Drosophila melanogaster: one gene and its partner. The protein of the gene in region 2 interacts with the protein of the main gene of each other region in a pairwise test. Each region holds a gene or a part of one and is shown on either strand. Other genes may lie near its edges.

Region 1 (12,499 bases), on a different chromosome or scaffold from region 2:
TTAAATAGAATATTCCCGCAGCTCCGCGACAATAATTACCATAATCTGCTGGAACTGGCAATCGTATGCGTTGAGGGCAGTGTCCCGTTTTCGCAGCTCGTTTCGCAGCACATCGATCTCCATTTGTTGACACTGGGCCCGCTGGACGGCACATTTGGCTGCCACCAGTTCCTGCTTCATCTGATTACAACGGCACTGGGATGGGAGAAGGTAAGGAGTCCACATTACTAACACTTACTCAGCATATAGGTGCTGAATAACGTACCTTAAGGATTTCCTCATTGCCCCTAGCCTTGTCTACCTCGTTTTCGTAGTAGTTCTGCATATCTCGCATTTCACACTGCATTTGCTCCATGCATCGGCACTGTTTCCGTAGATTTTCCTCCAGGTTGCATGTCAGACACTCCGCCTCATTGGCCTTCTCCTCCAGTTGATTGACTTTGTCGCCGAGCTCCTCCAGTTCCTTACACTTCTTTCGCAGCGCATCACGATCGGCTAGAATCTTTTTGATGTTCTCGGCATCCTTGTCCGGCGAGAAACTGCCCTTTCCAGGAGGACCCCTAGCGGCACGACCAGCATTGCCACCTCCACCACCACCACCACCTTCAGCACCGCACTTTTTGGCGCAACGCTTCATGACTTCGTCCTCGAACTCACGCAGTAGCGCCACCTCCTTACCCAAGTCGTCGATCTTCTTCTGCAGGTAGGGTATATCGTTGCTCTTTTCCGGATCGACTTTAATGCTATCCATCTTGCAGCGCTTCGATTGTTTTTCGAGCAGCCGCTTTAGATTGGCATTTTCAGCCTCCAGGATGTCGTGTGCCTTGTTCATGTCGTCAATGGCCGCCTGCAGACCGTTCAGTTCCTTCTCGTCCTGCGGAGTTATCTTGTTGTCATCGGCCAGTTGCTTGATTTTCTTTTTTAGAGCCTTGCTCTTGTCGGGGTCATAGCGCTGGTCCATAATCCGCTTGATCTCGGCGGTCTCCTGGTTGGCTGTCCTCAATTTATCATCAGAATCGGCCAGTTTCTTCTTTAGAATATTATTCTTGATCATCAGATCCTGCATGCGACCAATTGTGTCGTCCGCGGCATTTATTAAACTGTCGCCCACCACTAAATTACTGCCGTACTCATCCTCAGGACCCAATGGAGCAGATCTAGCGGTAGGCTCGGCACCACGGTCCTTCTTTATCGGTGAGTTGCAGGCCACCAGGTCAGCCACGAACTGTGACTTCATATCTTCGTTTGCTGACCATGATCTGTCGTCAACTGTGGATGGATACCTCTTAAGTTTAACACACGCATCGACACACTCAAATTCGTATGTCTCATTGTTGAAGGGTACGTGAAAGAACTCTTTTTGTGTGGAGAACGCCATGAATTCGCCTAGTGCTTAACACAAAAACAACTAATCTATCATGCGAATTTACAACACTATTTAAAAATGAGGGTTGAGGGTCGGTTCGGAAAGTGATCAACAGAATATGTATGGGTCCGACATGTATTGGATCACAAAATAATCTATTGCTAGGCACGTAAAAATTTACATATTTGTCTGTCAGTCGGGCCAGTTGTTAACTGCCTACTAGACTACAATTAGTTAACAGTTCTCTTAGTCGACTAAAATTATTCAAGGCCCTGTGCTCTGCGCTCCGCCAGCGATTCGTCCACGGAATTCATTGAAGAGAAGCCACACGGTTGCATCGTCATGCTGGCTGTGCCGGAACTTATCGTGCGTAGGGCACTCGAGTAGCCGGAGAGTTCTGCCAAAGGAGCATTCACCAGAATCATCTAAAAAAATACCTTTTAATGTCTTTCAAAGTTATAAACTTAACCAGTGGTTACCTTATTTCTTTCGCCTTTGGGTAAGACATCGTTAATCAGGGCTCGTCGCCGTGAAAGATCCGCCATAATTCCGGAAATACGTTCGCTAGGCGCCACAATTTGAAGGGCCATAATGGGTTCCAACAGCCTGGTGCCACTCGTGCTCAGTAGCTGTGAGTTTATATACAAAATGTAAACGAGTTGCAAGAAATAATACGATCTTAGTTACCTTTTGCACACACTGAGCTGCAGTGGCCATGACAAAAGAATCAGCAGTGCCGCGTCCAATAGTTGCGTTATGCAGACGAATCTGAGTCTCCACAACCTGCCCACCAACGCGAGGTCCTCGCTCTAGAGCGCTGATGGAGCCCTTCCGCAGAACTTGAAGAATTCGTGGACGCAATGTGTTGAGATTTGGCAGGTTATCTGGTGACTTATCTAAACTTTTGTGGAAAAACACATTTAAGTTTGATTTCGTAGAAATTTCATAGTATTCCAAATCACCTGAACAACTCGGCTTGATTCTTGACAACCTCCAGTGTTATACTGACGCTCTGCTTGCTGCCGGCTATTTCCTTTTCCACACTTAGCGTGGTTAACGCAGGTGCTTCAATTGTCTCCTTGTACGCAATTTGTAGAGGACCAAGGTCAACGTCGATTTTGTACTCGCTCAGGATGCGCGACTTGATGATGTCCATGTGCAACTCGCCCATGCCACCGAGTACTGTCTGTCCAGTAACTGAATCGTAGCTCACACGCAGACTAGGATCCTCCCGTTGCAGCTGTTTAAGTGCCTGCTCCATGGCCGTTTGCGAGGATACACTGGGAGGCTCGATCGAACAGAAGTACACGGCATCTGGTATTTGCGGGTCAATAGCAAACAGCTCGTCTGACTCATCCAATTCGTCATCTTCCTCGACTTTGGCCGCAGTATTGCCCAGGCTTTGTTTATATCGCTTTTGTGCATTCTTCAGCGCAGACTGACTTGAGGTCAGCAAATCTCCTGTCACCGTGGACTAAAAAATGGTATTTAATCTTGTTTAATTATCTATATTGGGTGCAGCTTACCTTCAGACCTGCACATATTACCACATCGCCCGACTGCACAGCGCTCACCTCTCGGTATTCGTCGGCCAATGGCTCATACAGCTTAGACACAACTTCAGCCTGTCCGCGAGCGGATATCAGACGCATGCCTCGTTTTATTTCGCCTCTCAAAATCCTAACTAGGGTTAATGGACCACGTTGCTTATCGTGTACAATTTTGAACACCTTGCCAGCCACTTCTGTTCTGTTAACCACTTCAACTTAATATGAAACATTTACTTTTTCTCGAATAAGTACTCACCCAAAGCAGTCGTAGATTTGGTTTCGTTCCTCGGGGGCAGGCAGGTAAGCATTGACAGCGTCCATTAAACGCTGTATGCCCACATTTTTGTAGGCGGAGCCCAGCAATACGGGCACTACCTTCTGCTGGGTGGTTGCCCGTCGAAGAGCTCTTTCGATCAATGCATTGTCCACATTGTCAAAGCTTTCTGTGCTGATAACCACATCGGCCAATTCGTCATCTAGTCCCGACAGTTGATCAATCAGTTCATTCCGTTTTTCCTGCAGCAGGCGCAAATCATCAGAGGGCTCCAGTTTTACATTTCTGTAACTGCGGCCCAAGTCCTTTTGCTGCCAGCTTAGTCGCTCCAGGGTGATCACGTCATTGATGGCTAAAATTGGCGGAGCTTAGATAAGCTTTCAAAAGAGTGTAGACAGAGCTTACCTAAAACCCCATCTTCGTTTTTCACGGGGTACTGTAGGCAAACGGGCTGCGTTTCTAGCTTATCCTTCAGATCGCTAACGCACTTTTCAAAGTCCGCATCAGGACGATCCATCTTGTTGACGAATATGAGACGTGGCAATTTGTGCTTGTCCGCCTGCGACCACACGGTGACCGTTTGGGCCTCCACGCCAGCTGTGCCATCCAGAACAACGACCACACCATCCACGGCATACAGAGATTGCTCAACCTCCATGGTAAAGTCAATGTGTCCGGGTGTGTCCAATAGGTTGATGCTGGATTAAATGGTGTCAGGAGTTACGGGTAAGCGAAGTAGCAAACGAAACTCCTACCGGTGATCATTCCACGAAAATGTTACTGCCGAGCTGCAGATCGTTATGCCCCGTTCGCGCTCCTGGGTTAGGTAATCAGTGACCGTGTTGCCGCGATGCACTTCACCCAAAGCTCTGGTCTTGCCCGCATAGAACAGCATGCGTTCCGTTGTCGTTGTTTTGCCTGAAACAGATTCATTGACAAAGTAATGTTAAGTAGTATTTAAATTTGCAGTGCTCCTACTCACCTGCATCGATATGCGCCAGAATGCCTATGTTCCTGATCTTGCTGCTATAGCTACGCTTCCAGATTTGATTGGAAAGATGCCATAGCCACCTGTTGCTTTGTTTTGGACCGCTTTGCCATGCATATTTCAGCATTTTCATTAATAAATGAATAAAAATGGAACCAAACTGCCAAATTTAACCACTTTTATCAGCTGTTTATTTTTTATAGTTATCGATAAGTGGCGCTAACAGCTGTCTCTCGCAATCGAATATTTACGACTTCGTGATCAAAGAGGTCACAAAAAGAGAAATTGTTAAGTTCATTTGTTAATTACCTTTTTTAAGAATATAAAATAAATTGTAAATTAATTGCAATATTGTGCTTATTAAACATAATCTTAAGAATAGATTGCAACATGTCGAAACGACCTCGACGCGCGGCATCCACAAAAAAGATAGTAATTGAAATCTCCGACTCAGATGAGGAAGTGAATCTTACGGCAGACGACGATTACAGGCCGGAAGAAACCAAGAGTCGCATAATAGATCGCGCTGCAGATGCGCAGACCGTCGTGTAAGTCATACCCTTATTATCCTGTAAAGAATAATATATTTACCCGATATCCTTCCAGGACCAAACGCCAGCGGTTCCCAACATCCAAAAAAACAGCTGCTGAGGGACCAGCTCCCAAGAAAAAGCGGGGCGACAAAGAAAAGGCGGACGAGAATGCTTGTCCCAATGAGAACAATCCGGAATCGGTAGTCCAGGACACACCTTCAACTTCAAACCAACGGAATGGAGCCGTAGGCACTGAACACAATTCCGAAGCTCCGGCTCCTAAGAGAAAACGCGCCAGAAAGGATAAGGAGGACTTGAAAACGGCAGCCAATGAGACTAATCCTGAGAAGGGGGACGTTGTGCCCTCAACAGCAGTGACACAACCAAACGATATCGTAGCCAGCTCCTCACACAACAAGTCTTCCACTGGACGCAGTTCCTTCTGGGAGCGACGAAAGGTGTGGAACATCGACGAGCTCCTGGCCGAAACGGAGAGCATACAACCGCAGGCAGCTCGAAATATTGTAAAGCTCTTCGAGGATGAAAATACCATACCTTTTATTTGCAGGTACGCTATAATTGATATATTTATCTTGGCATTGATATATTTATATTGGCATTGTTTCCTGACAGGTACCGTCGAGATCTGGTGGATCACATCGCTCCAGATCGCCTTAGAGATATTCGGAACACGTACACAGAGATCGTCGATCTGCGGAAAAGAGCTGAGAATATTATTGGTAAATTGCAGCGTGAAAACATCATGACTCCGGAAATAAGAGAGGAGCTAATGTGCGCCAAGTCCAACGAAGAACTGGAGTTCCTTTATGCCCCCTATAAGCCGGCCAGTAAGGGCACTTTGGCGGAACGCGCCAAAGCTTTGGGCTTGCAGGTGTACGCCGATTGTTTACTGTACGGCTCAGCACCTAAGGTCAACCTTTCTGAAATTGTGGACCGCCGAAATGAGGCTTTAGCTACGGAGGCACTTGTGATGTCTGGAATCTGCCAAATTATTATTCACAACATCAGCAAAAACACAAATGTTTTGGAGGAAATACGCAGATTGTAAGCTCTTGTACCTAACTAGGAAGTTTCTATTGAAATTATTTGCTATATCGTTCTAGGCAAAACGTGCACCGGGTATTCCTCAAGTGCAGCAAGACCAAGGAGGCGAAATCGTCTAAATCTAGTTCTTCTAGTAAAGCAAGCTCCAGTAAAGGATCCAACCAAAATGCAGATAAGAAATTGGATAGCTCAAAGTTTGAGAATTATTTCAACTTCCAGGGTGATGTTAAAACTATAAAACCTTATCAAATGTTAGCCATCAATCGTGGGGAGAAGCACAAATGGCTTTCTGTCAAGATAGAAACGAACGATTACCTTAAAAGAGATCTGATGCGCTATATAACCGATCAGTACATGAACCAAGGCTTGCAATATCCATTAAGAAGGGAGGTGTTCACAAAATCCTTAGAGGAGTGCTACGCGAAGAAGTGTAAGATATGGAATATATTAAGACCCCCATATGATATGTTAATTAATTACTTATTACAGTGCAGCCCTTGATGTGCAGGCAGATTCGAGCGGCTTTAAAAGAAAAAGGCACAAAGGCAGCCATCGATGTGTTTGCCAAGAACCTGAAGCAACTACTGTTGATATCCCCCTTGAAAGGCGAACGCATTTTGGGCATAGATCCGGGTTTTATAAATGGATGCAAGCTGGCACTTATATCCGAGACTGCTGATGTGCTGTACACTGGTGTTATTTACCCTCATGGTGCCATGTCAAACAAGCGGGCTGCCGAACAGAAATTGGTTCAGCTTCTTTCAGATCATAAGTATATATATATTTTGAATTCGATTTGCAAAGATAGTTATTAATATGTCTTTTTTGCCTTTCCCAAAAGCTGTAAAATTATTGGCCTGGGCAATGGTACTGCCTGTCGCGAAACTGAGCACTGGCTAACTGGTATGTTTCATGCCGGCGTTCTGGACAGCAGGATCATTCGCTACAGCATCGTTAACGAGAATGGAGCATCTATTTACTCCTGCAGCAATGTGGCCGCCAAGGAGTTTCCCAAAATGGATACAAACGAAAGGAGCGCAGGTTTGGACGAAGATCAAATTAAAAGCAACACAAACAAACATATTTTGTATAGTGTCCATAGCGCGTCGTTTGAATGATCCATTGAGTGAATATGTTAAAATAGAGCCCCGTCACCTGGGGGTTGGTATGTACCAGCACGATGTTCCCGAGAAGATTTTGACGGCATCGCTGAATGACGTTGTGTCCGAGTGTGTCAGTTATGTTGGCGTTGATCTCAACACAGCCAGTCTGAGTGTACTCAAGTATGTGTGATTAAGGGTCAAATAAGTTATATATTTTTAATATTCTCCACCATATAGGCACATTGCTGGTCTGTCGGAAAAGAAAGCGGAAAAGATCATTGAGCATCGTACGCAGAAAGGACCATTCAAGACACGGAAGGATCTGCTCTCCGTGCGAAGCATAGGTGAGAAATCGTTTGTCCAGTGCGCCGGTTTTGTGCGCATCGAACCCCGAAGCGTTGGAGGACAACTACAGAATCCATTAGATTGCACTTGGGTGCATCCTGAGAGCTACAACGTTGTGGAAAGGTAAGTCCAATATTCAATTGACTTCATTAACCAATAATAATGAGACTTTATTCCGCCTGATTCATCGCAAGCCTGGCCTTTTCATCCGCTGCCCTCACTAACAAGGAGGTGTCACTAGGTGTCACAATGTCACTTTCGTGTTGCGTGATGCCAGCTATGTTCTTTGGACAATCGTCGTCAAAATTCTTAAGATTTGTAACATCCTCGCTAGATTCCATTTGACACCAGCACGGAAGGTACGGCTTCAAGGGATCCTTCTTGTCGCAACGCTTGCAGGTGCAGTTCTCCATGCCGGCACTCATAAAAGTCCGGAAGTCCGTCTCCTGACTCAAAAGCCCCAGATAGTCCTCTATAGAGTGCTCTTTCATAGGGTCCATCAGCTCCGCCCACGTCTTTAGCTTCACGATCACGCCAAAGAAATACGTGTTTAAGTCCTCGATTATTTGCAGCACCGAATCTAGCTCTTTCAAGAATGTACTTCCTAAAGACCGGTCCAACCTGGCTACGCGTTGATCTAGCTCCTTTTTCGACTCACTCATGTCCAGGTATAAATTGCTCAAATCGGTGCTAAAAAGTTTTAAATTAGCAGTGGCTGTGTATTTTTAATAGACTTACTTTGACTGATTGACGATATTGTAGGCTCTCTGAAACTCGCAAAGGGCCCGCTCTTCGGTCATCCGGCTTATGTACTCGGGATAGGTCTTAGTGCATCCGGTCGAGCTGGCTAAAATGCGATAACGCACTCCATGGTAACGCATCTCCTTAACCCTCTCAATCTGAAATGGTTTGGCCTGCTCCAGCTCATTCTTCAGGGCCTTCATTTTCTGGTCAACTACTAGAGTTTGCTCGTGCACACACTGCTCAAGCTTAAAATCGTAGCGGGAGTAGATATTCTCACAATGCTTGAAGGTTGGCTTCAGCAAATGGATGGGAATGGTCGATCCCCGGCACGGTGGCGGAAGCGGACGACGCTTGTACCGCTCCGGCGGATACTCCCAGCAAACTCCAAAGCGGGTTTGATCCTGCACATTGAGCGGATGCTGCCAGCAGGGCTTGTATTTCGGCTTATCGTTGTGGCCGTAGAATGCTACCTTTCCACATGCAACATATCGAAGCTTGGCTGGCGGCACAATTGGAGGATAATGCCAGCGCTCCGCATATTCCTGCTTTAGCTTGGCAATCATTATAATGGAAAATTTGAAAACTTAACTCTAAAACCAAATACTTTTTGTGCTTTCAGTATTGTCGGAGAATGTGACTTAAAGCTGTCGGATGTGGGCAAGGCTGCCTTTATAGCTAGCATCAAGCAGTTTGCCTCATCCCAGCCTAATCTCGATCGCATTGCCAAGCAGCACAAGCTGCCCATGGAGCGAGTAAGTGCCACTCAATCTATACTAAACAGGCCTATTGCAATGTTCAAATAATTTAAAATAAATTTCCTTTCAGTTGGAGTTCCTGTTGGTTGCCCTGCAGCGCGAATTACTTCAGGATTATCGAGCAGATCTGGACAAGAGGCCACTGTTCAAACAAGGTCTAACTAGGCTGGATGATCTTAGCATGGGCGAGGTGGTCACTGGCAAGTGGAGACTATGATAGTCATTTCATATATGTACTTATTGAAACTATTCCGACACACAGGTGCCGTGACCAACGTAACCCAGTTTGGCGCCTTCGTGGACGTTGGAGTGGAGCGCAATGGCCTCATACACAACAGTAACATGAATAATTCGCAGCTGAGCGTTGGCGATCGCATTGTGGCATCGGTGGTAAAGGTGGATCTGAAGCGACGCCAGTTGGAATTACGTTTGGAAAATATGCTGATGGAGACGGATACCTCGTTTAAGTTCAAGGCGGAGGATTAGACAAACTGCAGGGATTTAATGCTTTCGGAAGTATTTAATGATTCATATCGTAATTGTTTGGTTGCTCACACGAGCATTCATATATACTATATATAGTTCATATATATATTTATATATATGTGTATATGCATAGTATAACGGCTTTCCTAAGTTTAATCAAAGCTTATCAGTTAGTAATAAATGTTCACATAAAAATCACCGTCTCCACGTTCGTCTTCTTGTTTCCCTTCTCGCCACAAGTTGGCAAGTTGTCTTAAATGAATTGTTATCGAAAGGGTATTGCTTTAGAAACTAAGTGATGCCCTCTTAAGCCAGTTAAAATAAATATACAATATGCATACATTTAGGCGCTTGGTTTGCAGCAGGCAAGTTGCTTTCACTTTTAGTTAGTTTGTATTTTCGAATTTATTGCCGTTTCAGTAGAATTGTTAAAAATTATTATAAACAATGTTATATAGTCTGCATTTACATAATTACACAATACCATAATCATAATATATTCAAAAATATATGATGCATTTAATTTTATTTTTTCCTCCATCTCTCTTTACCCCGTAATGGATATTTAATTTCATATTCTAGCTACATGGACATGTCGCGTAATCAACCGATAGTTGTTTAAATAAATATATTAATCCGTACATAATATTGGAGTAACTGTTCCTACACAGTTAAATGTGATAATGTATCGCAAAAGACCAAAAACAAGTTGTACACGGTATGGTAGTAATTGCTTAAGCTTAATGCTAATGCGCTTGTCCTCTTCTCAATTCTCATTTCGTTATTGTTACTGCCGATGTTCTCCATCTTGTGGTTGTGTAGAGATATTGTTCATTAATTAATAATTTATTTTTATCATTTATAATGATAGCATAGGTAATGATGTAAGTATTGTTTATCAACTCTTGTAATAATAAGTCTATGTGTATAAGCAGTTTTCATTCTCGTTCCTAAACAGCCGTCCAGCAGAATCTTTGGCGGAGCAAATATGAACGATAATTCAAATTCGAATCGATCTGACTGTGTAGCTTTAAATCAGGTGAAACCGATCTCGAATACCCTCATTCTGGATAAGTAGCATGGTAAATATAAAATCAACTGCACGAATTCGAGATAATCCTCTGGTTGCCGAGATTATGCCGATGTCTTCTGATGAACGACCTTTAAACGTAAAATTCTCCCTCGTTAATTATCGCATTGGTAGTCTAATTGTCTCAAATGATCTCTTTCTCGCAACCCCTGATGGGGTTTTAACTGACTGAAAGTGCACGAATTCCGAATTTCTGTGGCAGACACGGCACAGCCGCAACGCTTGAGTGTAAGTGGGTGGGTGGTGGCGTGGCGCGAGTGGTGCTGAGTATGCGAGTGGGTGAGTGGTTCAGTGGTTCTGTGTGGATCTGATCTGTTTATGTTCCCGTCGCAGGCAGCTTGGCATTTTGGAGTATTCTATTCAAATTCGTTCAATCGCCTGCTTCACTGGTGGGGAGAGAAAAGATAGTTACACGCATAAGTCGAAGTTGCTGATAGGTTCAATGTGGGCATGGCACTTACCGATAGCCAAGAGGCGGGGATTGTGATGTAGGTGTGTGTTGGTTATGCGAGTTTTGAAATGATCGAAATCAAGAGCGAAATAAAACGTAATTATTTCTTTTTCTTCTCTTTTCTGCAAGTGTAGAACAATAAGCGAGGTTAGCAATCGTGGATTGAAAACAAAAAACGGGTTGTCGGATGGTGGGAATTCGTTTTGGGATCGCACTAAGCCAAGCTAGACACTGAAGAGTTAACAATTAACATTGAGTTTTGGCCTCGGCCTGCTCACATTTAATAAGACAGGTGATCGGGTCGATCAGTACGGGTCAGGGCATTTACAAGGAGCACCTCTTGGAGCGGATCACTAGCCTCTGAGTTGTGGTGCTTCGTGTGCTGTGGCTGATGTGGCTAAATCTTGGCAAGAGACTAAGTTGCTTAATGGCTTTTCGAATGGATCAAGTGCCGCCAGAGTGGGCAACAGCAGCAGAAGACATCGAACCATCTGTAAGATTGAAGAATTCTTCCATTTGGGTTTTGCTTTTCACATTTCACTTGCATTTGGGTGGAACGTAGCATTTGAACGCATTTGAACGGGAAAACGGAATGGCAACGGGCAACGAGTAACGGCAACTGCTTTGGGTTCACCTAGGGCTCGGGGTCACCAAATGTCGTCGGGTTAACATGAGTCATATATGGGTACATCGGTGAAATCATCAGCAACTTGTGTACAGTGTGTGGGTGTGGGATGGCTTAATTGATTCGTCTACTTAAATTTTATATCTATCCGTTGGATGTGTGCTGGTTTGTAAAACTGGTATAATCCTTTTTTCTTTGTGAGTTATTATGTTGTTGCATGTATATTTGGAATGCCGGTAGCTTAGGCTTAAACGTAAACGTTTGCTACTAGTGAACCACATTTGTGTTTTCTACATTTCTTTGTTTAATTTCGTTTCTAAATATATTCTTTGGTTTGTATACATTTAACGCCAAAACTTTGGATACTAGTGCTACAAAAAACTGCTTTCTATAGTTAACCATTTCAATCTTGACTCTAAATCGTATGAAACGGTCGACCGTTTGGTTTTCTAAATTCCTAATTATATCAATTACGAATTGTTCATTGAGTTTTCACAGCATGTTGTGTGGTTGTGGTTGCATCCAAAATAAAACCATTTTCACATAAGAACTAATTACATTAGGGGTCTCCGTCTCCTTTTTTCCTTTTAATTGCCTACGCGCAACACTTAAGTCTGAATTCAGTTATTGTTATACGTATCGTAGTTAAAACTATTCAAAATTAAAGCTTGTATATGTGGGGATGTGGTAATATGATGCCAGCAAAATGCCAAACAAAAAGAACGCACACGAAATATATTTACACATAGAAAGGATTAAGGAATAACAGTGAGCACAGTACAATAATGCCAGCAACACAACAGAACACCGCAGCAAACTGAGTCCCAGAAGATCTTGCGCCAGGCCAAATTGGTTGACACCGAGATTCTGGGCGGACTGCGGAACGAACAACACAACAGTAATGAAATATTGGGAAAGCAGCTCAACAAAAAATTAACAACGAAAGCGGGAAGAACAGAAAAACATATAGCTAAGGACAAGAATAGAATGTAACGAATCGATCGGAGCGATCGCTTAAACCACACAAGCTGAGAAAACTCCCATTACGCGTCAGCCAATGTCCTGCTGCACATGGGCGGAGGACGAGGAGCTGCTGCCGCTAGGGCGTTGCTGCTGACTGTACC
Region 2 (9,883 bases):
ACTGGCGCAGGCACCACACGTGCCGCCCATTTTAATGTGTTAATATGTATTTAATAGTCAAATAAGAACTGCTCTACTACAGTGTAGGCGGTTGGAATCTTTTTATAAAGCTTGCATCAGTGCGATTGTATATTAGTATATTAAAATTAAATTGCACATAGCTCCCCCTCCCTCAAACAATTGACAAATTGAATTGTATATTAGTATATTAAAATTGAAGTCCAAATAGCACCCCCTCCCTCTAACAATTGACAAATTTAGTTGTATATTAGTATATTAAAATTAAAGTGCAAATAGCTCCCCATCCCTCTAACAATTAACAAATTTAGTTGATGATCAAATAAATCGTGAAAGCATAGTAAAACATCGAAATGTACAGCTATTTCTTTTTGGTGGAAAACTAGCAAAAAATTATTAACAAATGTACAACCAATTCCTGAAATTTACACACGAATTATGCTGAAAGAAATGTGAAATACACTCGAGTCTTGTGGTCAAGCGAAAAAACTCACATAAATTTTATTCTGAAAACGTAAAACAGAAAATAAAAAATTAAAATACATCAAGAAACTCCAACTGTTATGAAATAGTGTAGTAGGTACGCGTTAAGCTAGTCAATCTCCAGTGGAACTAGAACTGTCTGCGCGGCTGCACGATCATCAGGCTTTCCCGCGGCACCGGCAGATTGGCATTCATTTCCGCACGACGAGTTCGCGGCACGGCCAATTGATGACGCTGGCGCGGCAGCATCGAGGAGCGACTGGTCGGCTGAAATTCGTCATAGCTGACACCCTGCTCGGGATTCTCGTCCGTTGTGTAGTCACTGCTGTCGGGTGGGGCGTTCTGATCGTTGGACTTGGTGCGCGCCTTCTTGCTGGAACGCGTTCCAATGCTGCGCCTGCCCATACCGCCGCTGCGTCGCAGTGTGTTGTCCAGTACGCGAACACGTTTCAGCGGCGACTTGGTGCTCTTCAGCTGGTTATGCTGCTGGCTGGGCGCGAGCAGGTGCTTGGCTGGCGACGCCTTCATCGAGTTGAGTGTGTTCATAAGGCTGCGCTTGGCGTTGGGCGTTTTGGGGCCCGTCTGCAGGCCGGACGGATTCAGGCGCTTGTGCAGATTGCCCGTACTCTTGGTGATGTTTAGTGGACGGAGGTGCTGCTGCGACGGCGTCTTGCGCAGCGACATGGTGGAGCTGGAAAGGGTCGACATGTTGCGCAGCGTGCGCGGCGTGCGTGGAGCTGTCGAGCCCGTTGCCGGCGGTGGCATTATCTTGCTGGCCGATGGCGGTGCCTTCTTGCGCGCCGAGCTCTGCTGTTTGGCCTGGCGATGACGCTCCCAATCGGCGGCCATCCGCTCCAGGATGTTCTCGCCGTGCACCAGAAAGGGTGTGTTCTCCTGCGCCTCGTATGCCTGCACCAGTTCCGTGATCTGCTGCTCAATCTTGGGCAGCTTGGAGGTGATGGCCTTGCGCTCCTTCTCCTCCTTGAGCAACTGGCCGCCACGATTGTTGAAGCGATTCGGCTCGCTCGCCTTGGCCTCCAGCGCCTCCATGCGCGACCAGAGTTCGGCACGGCTTTCGTACAGATCGAAGATCTCCTTGTTCTTGTTGTAGAAGGTCTTGAGGTCGTCCAGCTCAAGTTCGTGGAGCTCCAGCAGATCTTCGTTGTACCAGTCGTTGTAGTAGTTCGAGAAGCGCTTGCGCTCCTGCTGGCTCTTAAGTGTGAGATCCCACATCTCCTTGATCTCGATGCGTAGCTGCTCGATGAAGGTTTTCAGATTCTGGCGTCGCAGGGCCTGGCAGCGCTGCAGTTCCTCCCGCAGGACATCGTAGGTGCGTTGAGTGTAGGTCGTAGCCTCGCGCACGCGACGCATGGCATACTCGTCTGTCTCCTGGAGTCTGTCCCACAGCACATGGATCTTTTCGCGCATATCGTCGATGCGCTCCCTCAGCTCCTTCACCTGGTCGGCGAAGTTCTTTTGCATGTTGCGCAGGAGCTCGAAGGTCTCCGGCGTTAGGCAGTGATCCACCTGGTTGAGCAGACGCTCCTCGGTGTCCGTCTGGGGCAGGCACTCAAGCAGCTTCATGTCGTGCTTAATGGCCTGGCGCAGCTGGTCCATCTCTTTGAGGCGCAGCACTCGCTGATCGCGTAGCTGGCCCAGGCGATTCCGAAAGGCGTCCATCTCCTCGGGCAGCGGCAGTGGATCCGCCAACAGTGGCAGAGGCAGCTCTCCCAGTTCCTCGCACAGCTGCTCCTGCTGCAGCAGAAGCTCACAGATCTCCGCTCGCCGCCTGGCCAGCTGATCGCGTAAGTGCTCGATGCTTTTGTCCAGCTTCAGCTCCCAGACGACCAGCGGCATGGACTCCGGCCGCTCGCCAATGTCCAGCGGCTCGTGGAGTAGGCGCGTCAAGTCGGTGGCCTCTGCCCGCAAGGCGGCTATATCGTTGAGGATCGCCTGCTGCTTTTCGCGCGACTCATTGAGCAAATCCGTGAAGAAGCTGTTCGCATGGTCCTTCAACCGGAGGAGGAACTCACCGCAGGTCTTGACCTCGAACAACTGCGACCACATCGCGTGCAACTGATCCACGTGCTCGCCCGTCATCTCCAGGATCTGGGCCTTCACCGCAATGGCGCTCGGCGAGTTCATTTTCTCCGTTTTCGTTGTGAAATTTGTGTTTTTTTTTTTTTGTTCAAAATTTCTTTTCTTGCGTAAATGCTCACTGGCTTTGTTTTTTCGTTGTGTTCACTTGGGGACTATTTAACCAGCATATCTGAGTTAACTTGACAGTTGTGTCGCAGACCCACAACGCTGGGCAGGATTGCTCGGGAATGTGCGGATTTATTTAGTGGTTTATTTAGAGTGCATCACTGCACGAAATTTCGAACTGAATGAATCGATGACGCTAGACAGAAATTTCGGTAAATTCAAATTGAAATGGCGGCCAAGAGTGTTGCCACCGCGTTGTGGGACAGCATTGCCACGCGGCGGTAACTTCTGGTAAAACCAGGGCTGGAGCATACGCCACTTTTTTGAATATTTAAAATTCGTTATTTGGTTTATTAGCAAATTAAAATATCTATTTTAATTATTTTGCTCCTTAAAAACGTATTATATTCTCTTATATGCGCTTAGTAAACATCCCACAGACTTTAGAAAACCCTTCCCACACATGTATATTTTGGTAAAATTGAAATCAAGTAATTTATAATGTAAACAAGCGTTTTTATCTGACTAAAAATTTAAAATGTGGACAATTGTTCATTTACTTCTTGCCGTCACAGGTAGTGCAAAATAGTTAAAAGAATTTTAAAGTTGTAAATTTAGATAGTCTTTGCGCTAGGAAAAGCCCTAACACTATACATATGTGTATACATATAAATACGATGAGTCTGCAATTGCGAGCCAAATACTTCAGTACAGGTAATAGATATAGAACACAGATCAGTTGCCGAAATGATTGCCATTGGATGTGATTAGAGTCTAGCTCCATTATATGGCCACGACCGCCTCCTCGTCGGGACTCTCGTTCTCCTCGCCGGACGGCGGACGCACATGGATTTTTGGTATGGGACGAATTTTCTGGGGATTCCTGCTCCCTGTGCTCGGCCTGCCGGATCCCTTGCCCCGACGCACCGAGTATTCCAGCACGCGCACCTTCCTCTGCGGCGACTTGAGCAGCTTCTGCCCATTCACACAGACCTTGCGACTTGCATTGTTGCACTCCAGCGATGCGATTAGATTTCGCTTGGCCGCTGCTGCCGGCTGTGGACTATTGGTGTTGTGATGCTGTGGATGCCGTCTCTTGTGCAGATTCCCTGTGCTCATTGCCGTGGTGCTGGCATTTGCCTTGGTCGGCGTCTTCTTCAACGAGGATGTGGATCCATGGATGCCCCGGTTGCTCTTCTGCGTATTGGGCGTAAGAGGCACCATTGGCGGCTTCATTTGGCCGCTCGTATTGCTGCCATCCTTCTTCTGGGCGGAGGGCTGCTTTTTGGACTGTCGATGCCGCTCCCAGTCCGCCGACATGCGCTCCAGTATATCCACGCCGTGCACCAGGAACGGCGTGTGCGTTTCACTCATGTAGACCTGCACCAGTTCGGTGATTTGTTGATCGATCTTGGGCAGACGGGACATGATAGTCTTGCGCTCCTTCTCCTCCTTGAGCAGCTGTCCACCGCGATTGTTGAACCGATTTGGATCGTTGGCCTTGGCCTCCAGGGCCTCCATGCGCGTCCATAGCTCGCCTCGATTCGCGTATAGCTCAAATATCTTCCTGTTGCTGTTGTAGAACTCCTTAAGGTTGTCCAGCTCCTTCTCGAACTGCTCGAGAACATCTTCGGTCTGCGTATCACAGTAGTAGGTGGTGAAGCGCCTGCGCTCCTCGGTGCTTTTCAGTGAAAGATCCCACCACTCGTTGATCTCAATGCGCAGCTGCTCGATGAAGGCAATCAGATTCTGCTGCCGCATCGCCTGGCAGCGCTCCAGCTCCTCGCGCAATATGTCGTAGGTGCACTGGTTATAGGACGTGGCTTCGCGCACACGACGCATGGCGTATTCGTCGGTCATCCTGAGCCGCTGCCAGAGGCATTCAATCTTGCCGCGCATCTCGTCGATGCGGTCGATTAGATCCTGCACCTGGTCGGCGAACTCTTTGTCCATTTCTTGCAGGCGCACGTAGGCGTAGGGAGTAAGCTTATGGTTATCCGCATTGAGTAACCGCTTTTCCGAGTCCGTTCGCAATTGAAGTTCGAGTAGTTTTATGTTTCGTTTGATGTTCTGGCGCAGCTCGTCCATATCCCTGAGGCGCTGCACTCGCTGATCGCGCAGCTGGGCTAGGTGCTCCCGAAAGGGGTCCATCTCCTCGGGCAGCGGCAGGGGATCAGCTAGAAGTGAAAGCGGCTGTTCGCCCAGCTCATCGCAGAGCTGCTGCTGTTGATGGAGTAGCTCCCTGATCTCTGCCCGTCGGCTGACCAGCTCTTTGCGCAGTTGTTCGATGTATTTCTCCAGCTTAATGTACCAGATCTCCATCGGCACATCGTCCGGCCGCTCGCCAATGTCCACCGCTTTGTGAAGCAGCCGCCTTAGCCCGCTGGCCTCGTTGCGCAAAACGGCTATGTCGTTGAGTATACCCTGCTCCTTGTCGCTCGTCTCCTTGCGGAGATCCGTGTAGAATGTGTGTACGTGATCCTTAAGACGGGCGAGACAATCCTCGCAGGCTTGCGGCTCAAACATTCGCGACCACATTGCGTGCAGCTCGTCGAAGTGCTCGGCCGTCAGCGCTAGTATCCTTGCTTTGTGTTCGCTAGATAGCATTGTGTTTATTTTGTTTGTTTCTGTGTCGTGTTCTCGTGTGTGGTTGGATGTAAGTAAACATGAAATTCAATTCGAATCAGAACGTATGGACGCAATGTTGCTATGTTTAAATCGGTAAATTTCAAACTGTACATCAAACTCGTGCGCTCTGCAACACTGGCCAATTGGTGCTGTTAGGCGACAGCATTGCCACATCGGTAAGCATTGGAGATCAAATATATATATAGTGAGTGAGTATATTTCTGCTACTCACTTTCTATTGCGTATAATGCGTTATAAGAAAATAATTGTTTTACCGTGTCTAATATGGTAAATGTTAGTACCAATGGTATGGTAAGTAGTATAAATTGATATCGATATATACCGATAGCAACGCATACCTATCGCTGTACTTGCCACCACTAATACCAATTGCATCCCTCAAAAAAAATACTGCGTGTGAAAAAGACCCGAACTTTTCGCATACCTTTCGGGTGCCTACTTATTCAGTGGAAAAGCGCGCGTTACTGCTCAGATCGATTCGATCGCAAAACGGCTGTTCAAAATGTTATAAAACACCGCGCCGCGTCCGTAGACAGTCCCTGTTCTACTTTAAAACACACACCCACACACGCGCGCCGCCGAGTGTCAACAGCTGCCCTGGCGAAAAAATGTCGGACATTAAGTAAGTGGTGGGTGCGAAAAAGTGGGTGACCCTGTGATGAATGGTGGCCACCTAAGATTGGGCAACAATCCTGGCCAGCGTTCGATTGGTGGCACTGAGAAAATCGCATGCAAAAAGCATTGTCGGGGCGGGGGGGTTGGCGATGCATGTGTATAACATTTTCAAGCTGCGTAGGTGTGTACGTATGTGTGCGAATGTGTGTGAATGCCCCCCCGGCTGTGCTTGTGTATGTGTTTGAGTGCGTGTGGTTATTATATTTTTTTTTTTCAATGGAACCTCGAAGGATAGAAAAGTCTCACCTTGGTTTTCTCCTTAACCCATTAATGATTTCTTAACTGCATCTCATCCGCAGCGATGACCTGCTCAACTACGAGCTGGGCGATGACATCGATGACCAAGCTCTGCTCGGCGCCGATGAGGATGAGTTGCTACTCTCGGACGAAGGTGAGTTCTATATGCACTGCAATAGTTGAATCGTTTTCTGATGGATATCCTTCTTCCATGCACAGAGCTCGAAAAGGATGTCACCAGCGAGGTGAAGCAGCAGATGCGCGCCGAGGCCGAGGAGTGGGCCCAGGAGCAGATTAGACAGCACGAGCGCAAGCACAAGGAGCAATTGCAGGCAGATGCGACTGCAGCGACTGAAGTCACTGTTGCAGCCACGGCCACCGCAGAGGTAGCACCAACTTTAAGGGCGCAACCAGAGCTAGCTTCATCTCCTGCTCCGGATCCTGTTCCTGCGAAACCTCTAGTCGCTCAGGTGGAGAAACATGTTGACACAGCCCACGCGGCTGTGGCAGCTGAGCCAGCGAAGGAACTGGTGTCAGCCAGTCGCTCGGAATCCCCACAACAGCAAGCTAAGGAGGAGGCGCCTCCAGCTGATTGCGCCGAAAAGGAGGCGACTCAGAATAATGGCAACAGCGAGGAACAAGCTGAGAACGCTGGCAGTCAGAGTGAGGCTGAACGAGGACTGGGCTTGTGCTCGCTACTGGCCTCATCCCAAGAGAGCCTGCCCAGCGCCAGCTCAGCCTCTGTGATTTCAGATCCGCGAGAGGACGACGAAGAGCGCGAGGAGCGCACCAACTACAAGACGGCCAGCGAGCGATCTGACAACAATCTGAGGCAGCAGCAAGAGCACGCACACATGTCGCCCTACCAGCACCAGCAGCGGCGACTCCACGGCCATGGAGGTGGGTGCAACGGGAGGGGTAGTCTTCCTTGTCAAATCCTTACCTAATGAGTGTATTAATTGTTAATTGCAGATAAACCCCGCGTGGGCGGAGGTGGACGCTTCATGCATGGCCAGCAGCAGCAGCAGCAGCAGCAACAGAGCCAGATGGGCAAGCCGCCGCGTGGAATTGGAACGCGCCACCATCTGCTACGCAATCCGTCGCCAAGTTTCGGCATACAGCAGCAGCGCATGGGCATGGCCGGGATGCAACCGCCGCCACAGCGATATGGCATGCCGGGTAATGCTCCACCACCGCAGCACCTGGCTCTGATGAGCACGCCAGTGGGTGCTGCTCCCACCGCCGCCTGCCTTCTCCCACTAACCGTTCCCGTAACCCCGCTCACCCTGTCCATACCGCAAGCCCATCCCAGCCATCAAGTTCATCAACAACAACAGCAAACACTGAGCAATCCGACATTCATTCCAATTCCAGGCCAGTACCCGGCAACTCAGCCACCCAACCAGTCACCACAACAAGCACCGACCAACACACAACAGCCACACAGCGCTCCCGCCTCTCCCCTCCACACTCCCACGCATTCGCACATGATGCACCACAGTCACAATCCGAACGGAGGCGTGCTGCACCACCTGCTGCCGCATCCGCACGAGCAGGTGCGTGTGGGTCTGCTGCAACCACCGCCGCTGGCATATGCGCCCAATCCGGGTGGCTATCGCAATGGAGCACTTCTGGGTCCGGGACCGGGACCTGGTTTGCATCAGCAACACCAGTCGCCGCACCAGCAACAGTCGGGCATGCGTCCGCCGCTGTATCGGAATGCCCCGCCATCGTACGGCTACGACCAGGGACATCCACCCCAGCATCCGCAGCAGTTCATGCGGCCTCACAACGGCTGGCGACCGCAGGGGGACAATGCGCGCATGCAGCGACCACCACTGCAAACGCTGCCACCGCACATGATGCCCGGCGCACCGCCGAACTATGCCAATGGCATGGGAATGCGAGGACCGCCGCCCCAGCAACAGCAATCGCAGCAGCCGCCACAGCAGCAGCCAGCACCGCAGCAGGCGGGCAATCCCCTACAGCAGGCCGTCAATCCTGGCCAGCCCCCTCAACAGCCGAATGGACCGCCGCAGCAGCAGGGCTCATCATCGGTGCCCCGGGTCAGCAAGGTGCTCATCAATCCGAATTTCAAGGGCGGCGTCGAAGCGGCTACCAACAAGTTCATCAAGGAGACACACTTTATGCCCGCCATTAACAGCGAGGCCGAGTTGCTGCGCCAGCAGGTGGAGTTCATCAACAAGAATCGGCAGTACATTGAGAAGCGACGCATGGAACGCTCGCCACCGTCGTCGGGCTCCTCCACCGGAGCCGCCTCGTCCGGCCAGGCAGGCGAACGGAGGCGAACACGTAGCCGCAGTCGCTCTCGTGGTCGCAGTTACTCTCCCGTTAAGCGCGTGGAAAGAGAACGCGAGCGGGAGCGGGAGCGCGAGAGGGATCGTGAAAGGGATCGGGAGCGAGATCGTGAACGATATGGCGCCAATCGGGCGGCTGGAAACCGTGGATTCCGACGGGCATCGAGTCGGGATCGAGACGAGAATCGTGGCGCAGCAAGCACCGCCAGTGCTCAAGGAGCGGGCGGATCAGCATCCAGCGGAGCTGCGCCCCCCAAGCGACGAAGGAGTGGCTCGGCCGGAGGAGGCACTGCCCGGAATCCATTCTCTGGCGAGCCGCGCGGCCGACCCTCCGAAACAGGCAGTCGCAGTATGGTAAGTGGAATCAGTGATGCAATGTCAGCTCTGGCTCTGAATTAATATCACATTTTGAATGCAGCCCAGCGACGAGGACGAGGAGACCCGCAACTATCGCCTTGAGATTGAGAAGCAGAAGCAACTGCGCGAGAAAATCATGCGAGACAAGGAGCTGAAGCGTCGGCGCGCAGCCGAGGAGAAGCTACACGAGGTAAGTCCTTGTTCTCTTACTTATTTTATTAGCTTATAAATGTGCAGGTTGTACCATAGTATTTTGATGCCCTTGCTGGTTGGTTTAGAATATGAGCAGAATATACATAAGTAGTTTTGGCAAAAATTCGATATGTTTGAGAGGAGTTTTAATAAGAACTTGGCCCAAAAAGATCACAGAACTTAAAAAATTACTGATTTCTACAGCTAATAAACAAGGTTTAGTGTTTAAGTAACTTTAATCCAGATTTTCAGAAATCCATTTTTGACATATTTTTTTAAGTTTAATTTTTTGCGAAAACTGGCAAAAAATTAAAGTTTCTATGTTCGAATGCAGATCGATAGGAAATTTTATTTCAAATTTAACGAGGTGTAAAATTCAAATTTTGAACAATTATTTCCAATGTTACAGCAAAAAAATTGATTATTTTGTATTAAAAATTGTAGGTAAAAACTATTAAAATTACGTTTGTTCAGCGTTTTTTTTAACCATATTTAGCCCAAAAAGATCGCAAATCTAAATATATATTATGAACAGCTAATAAAAATAAAATAAATATATAAATTTTATAAAGATTTTTATAAAGCATGTGTAGGTAATCTTGTAAAATATATAGTGTATGCAAGGGCATTTGATCCTTCGGCCGCCGAAGCTAGCCTTACAATAATGTAGCTTACTGTAGCGATCCGAAAGCAAGAGAAATCCACAAACGAACTAAACTTTCTAGGAGAAACGCGCCGAGCAGCACAAC

Evidence for each region.
Region 1: the proteins of sofe (region 2) and CG31156 interact in a two-hybrid assay, tested with the Drosophila melanogaster proteins (one large-scale study listed by BioGRID).

Annotation. Positions count from the first base shown.
Region 1 is NT_033777.3:22,605,570-22,618,068, reverse strand, and holds CG31156 (uncharacterized protein), read left to right. Parts: upstream 1-4,412; 5' UTR 4,413-4,568; coding exon 4,569-4,726; intron 4,727-4,784; coding exon 4,785-5,279; intron 5,280-5,344; coding exon 5,345-5,776; intron 5,777-5,835; coding exon 5,836-6,206; intron 6,207-6,265; coding exon 6,266-6,548; intron 6,549-6,617; coding exon 6,618-6,817; intron 6,818-6,869; coding exon 6,870-7,059; intron 7,060-7,116; coding exon 7,117-7,347; intron 7,348-7,353; exon of another isoform or gene 7,354-7,394; coding exon of another isoform or gene 7,395-7,914; intron 7,915-7,962; coding exon of another isoform or gene 7,963-8,531; exon of another isoform or gene 8,532-8,584; intron 8,585-8,587; coding exon 8,588-8,720; intron 8,721-8,793; coding exon 8,794-8,923; intron 8,924-8,985; coding exon 8,986-9,209; 3' UTR 9,210-9,399; downstream 9,400-12,499. Other genes in the region: CG31161 (uncharacterized protein), read right to left, coding at 40-195, 266-1,378; mRRF2 (mitochondrial ribosome recycling factor 2), read right to left, coding at 1,627-1,791, 1,846-1,995, 2,054-2,267, 2,329-2,840, 2,893-3,115, 3,173-3,542, 3,596-3,888, 3,946-4,108 and 1 more; CG13843 (uncharacterized protein), read right to left, coding at 7,395-7,914, 7,963-8,531; Efa6 (exchange factor for Arf 6), read right to left, coding at 10,851-10,872, 12,499-12,499.
Region 2 is NC_004354.4:10,851,959-10,861,841, forward strand, and holds sofe (sister of feo), read right to left. Parts: upstream 5,456-9,883; 5' UTR 5,314-5,455; coding exon 3,490-5,313; 3' UTR 3,042-3,489; downstream 1-3,041. Other genes in the region: feo (fascetto), read right to left, coding at 631-2,646; CG2186 (uncharacterized protein), read left to right, coding at 5,964-5,977, 6,330-6,421, 6,487-7,167, 7,240-8,939, 9,004-9,132, 9,860-9,883.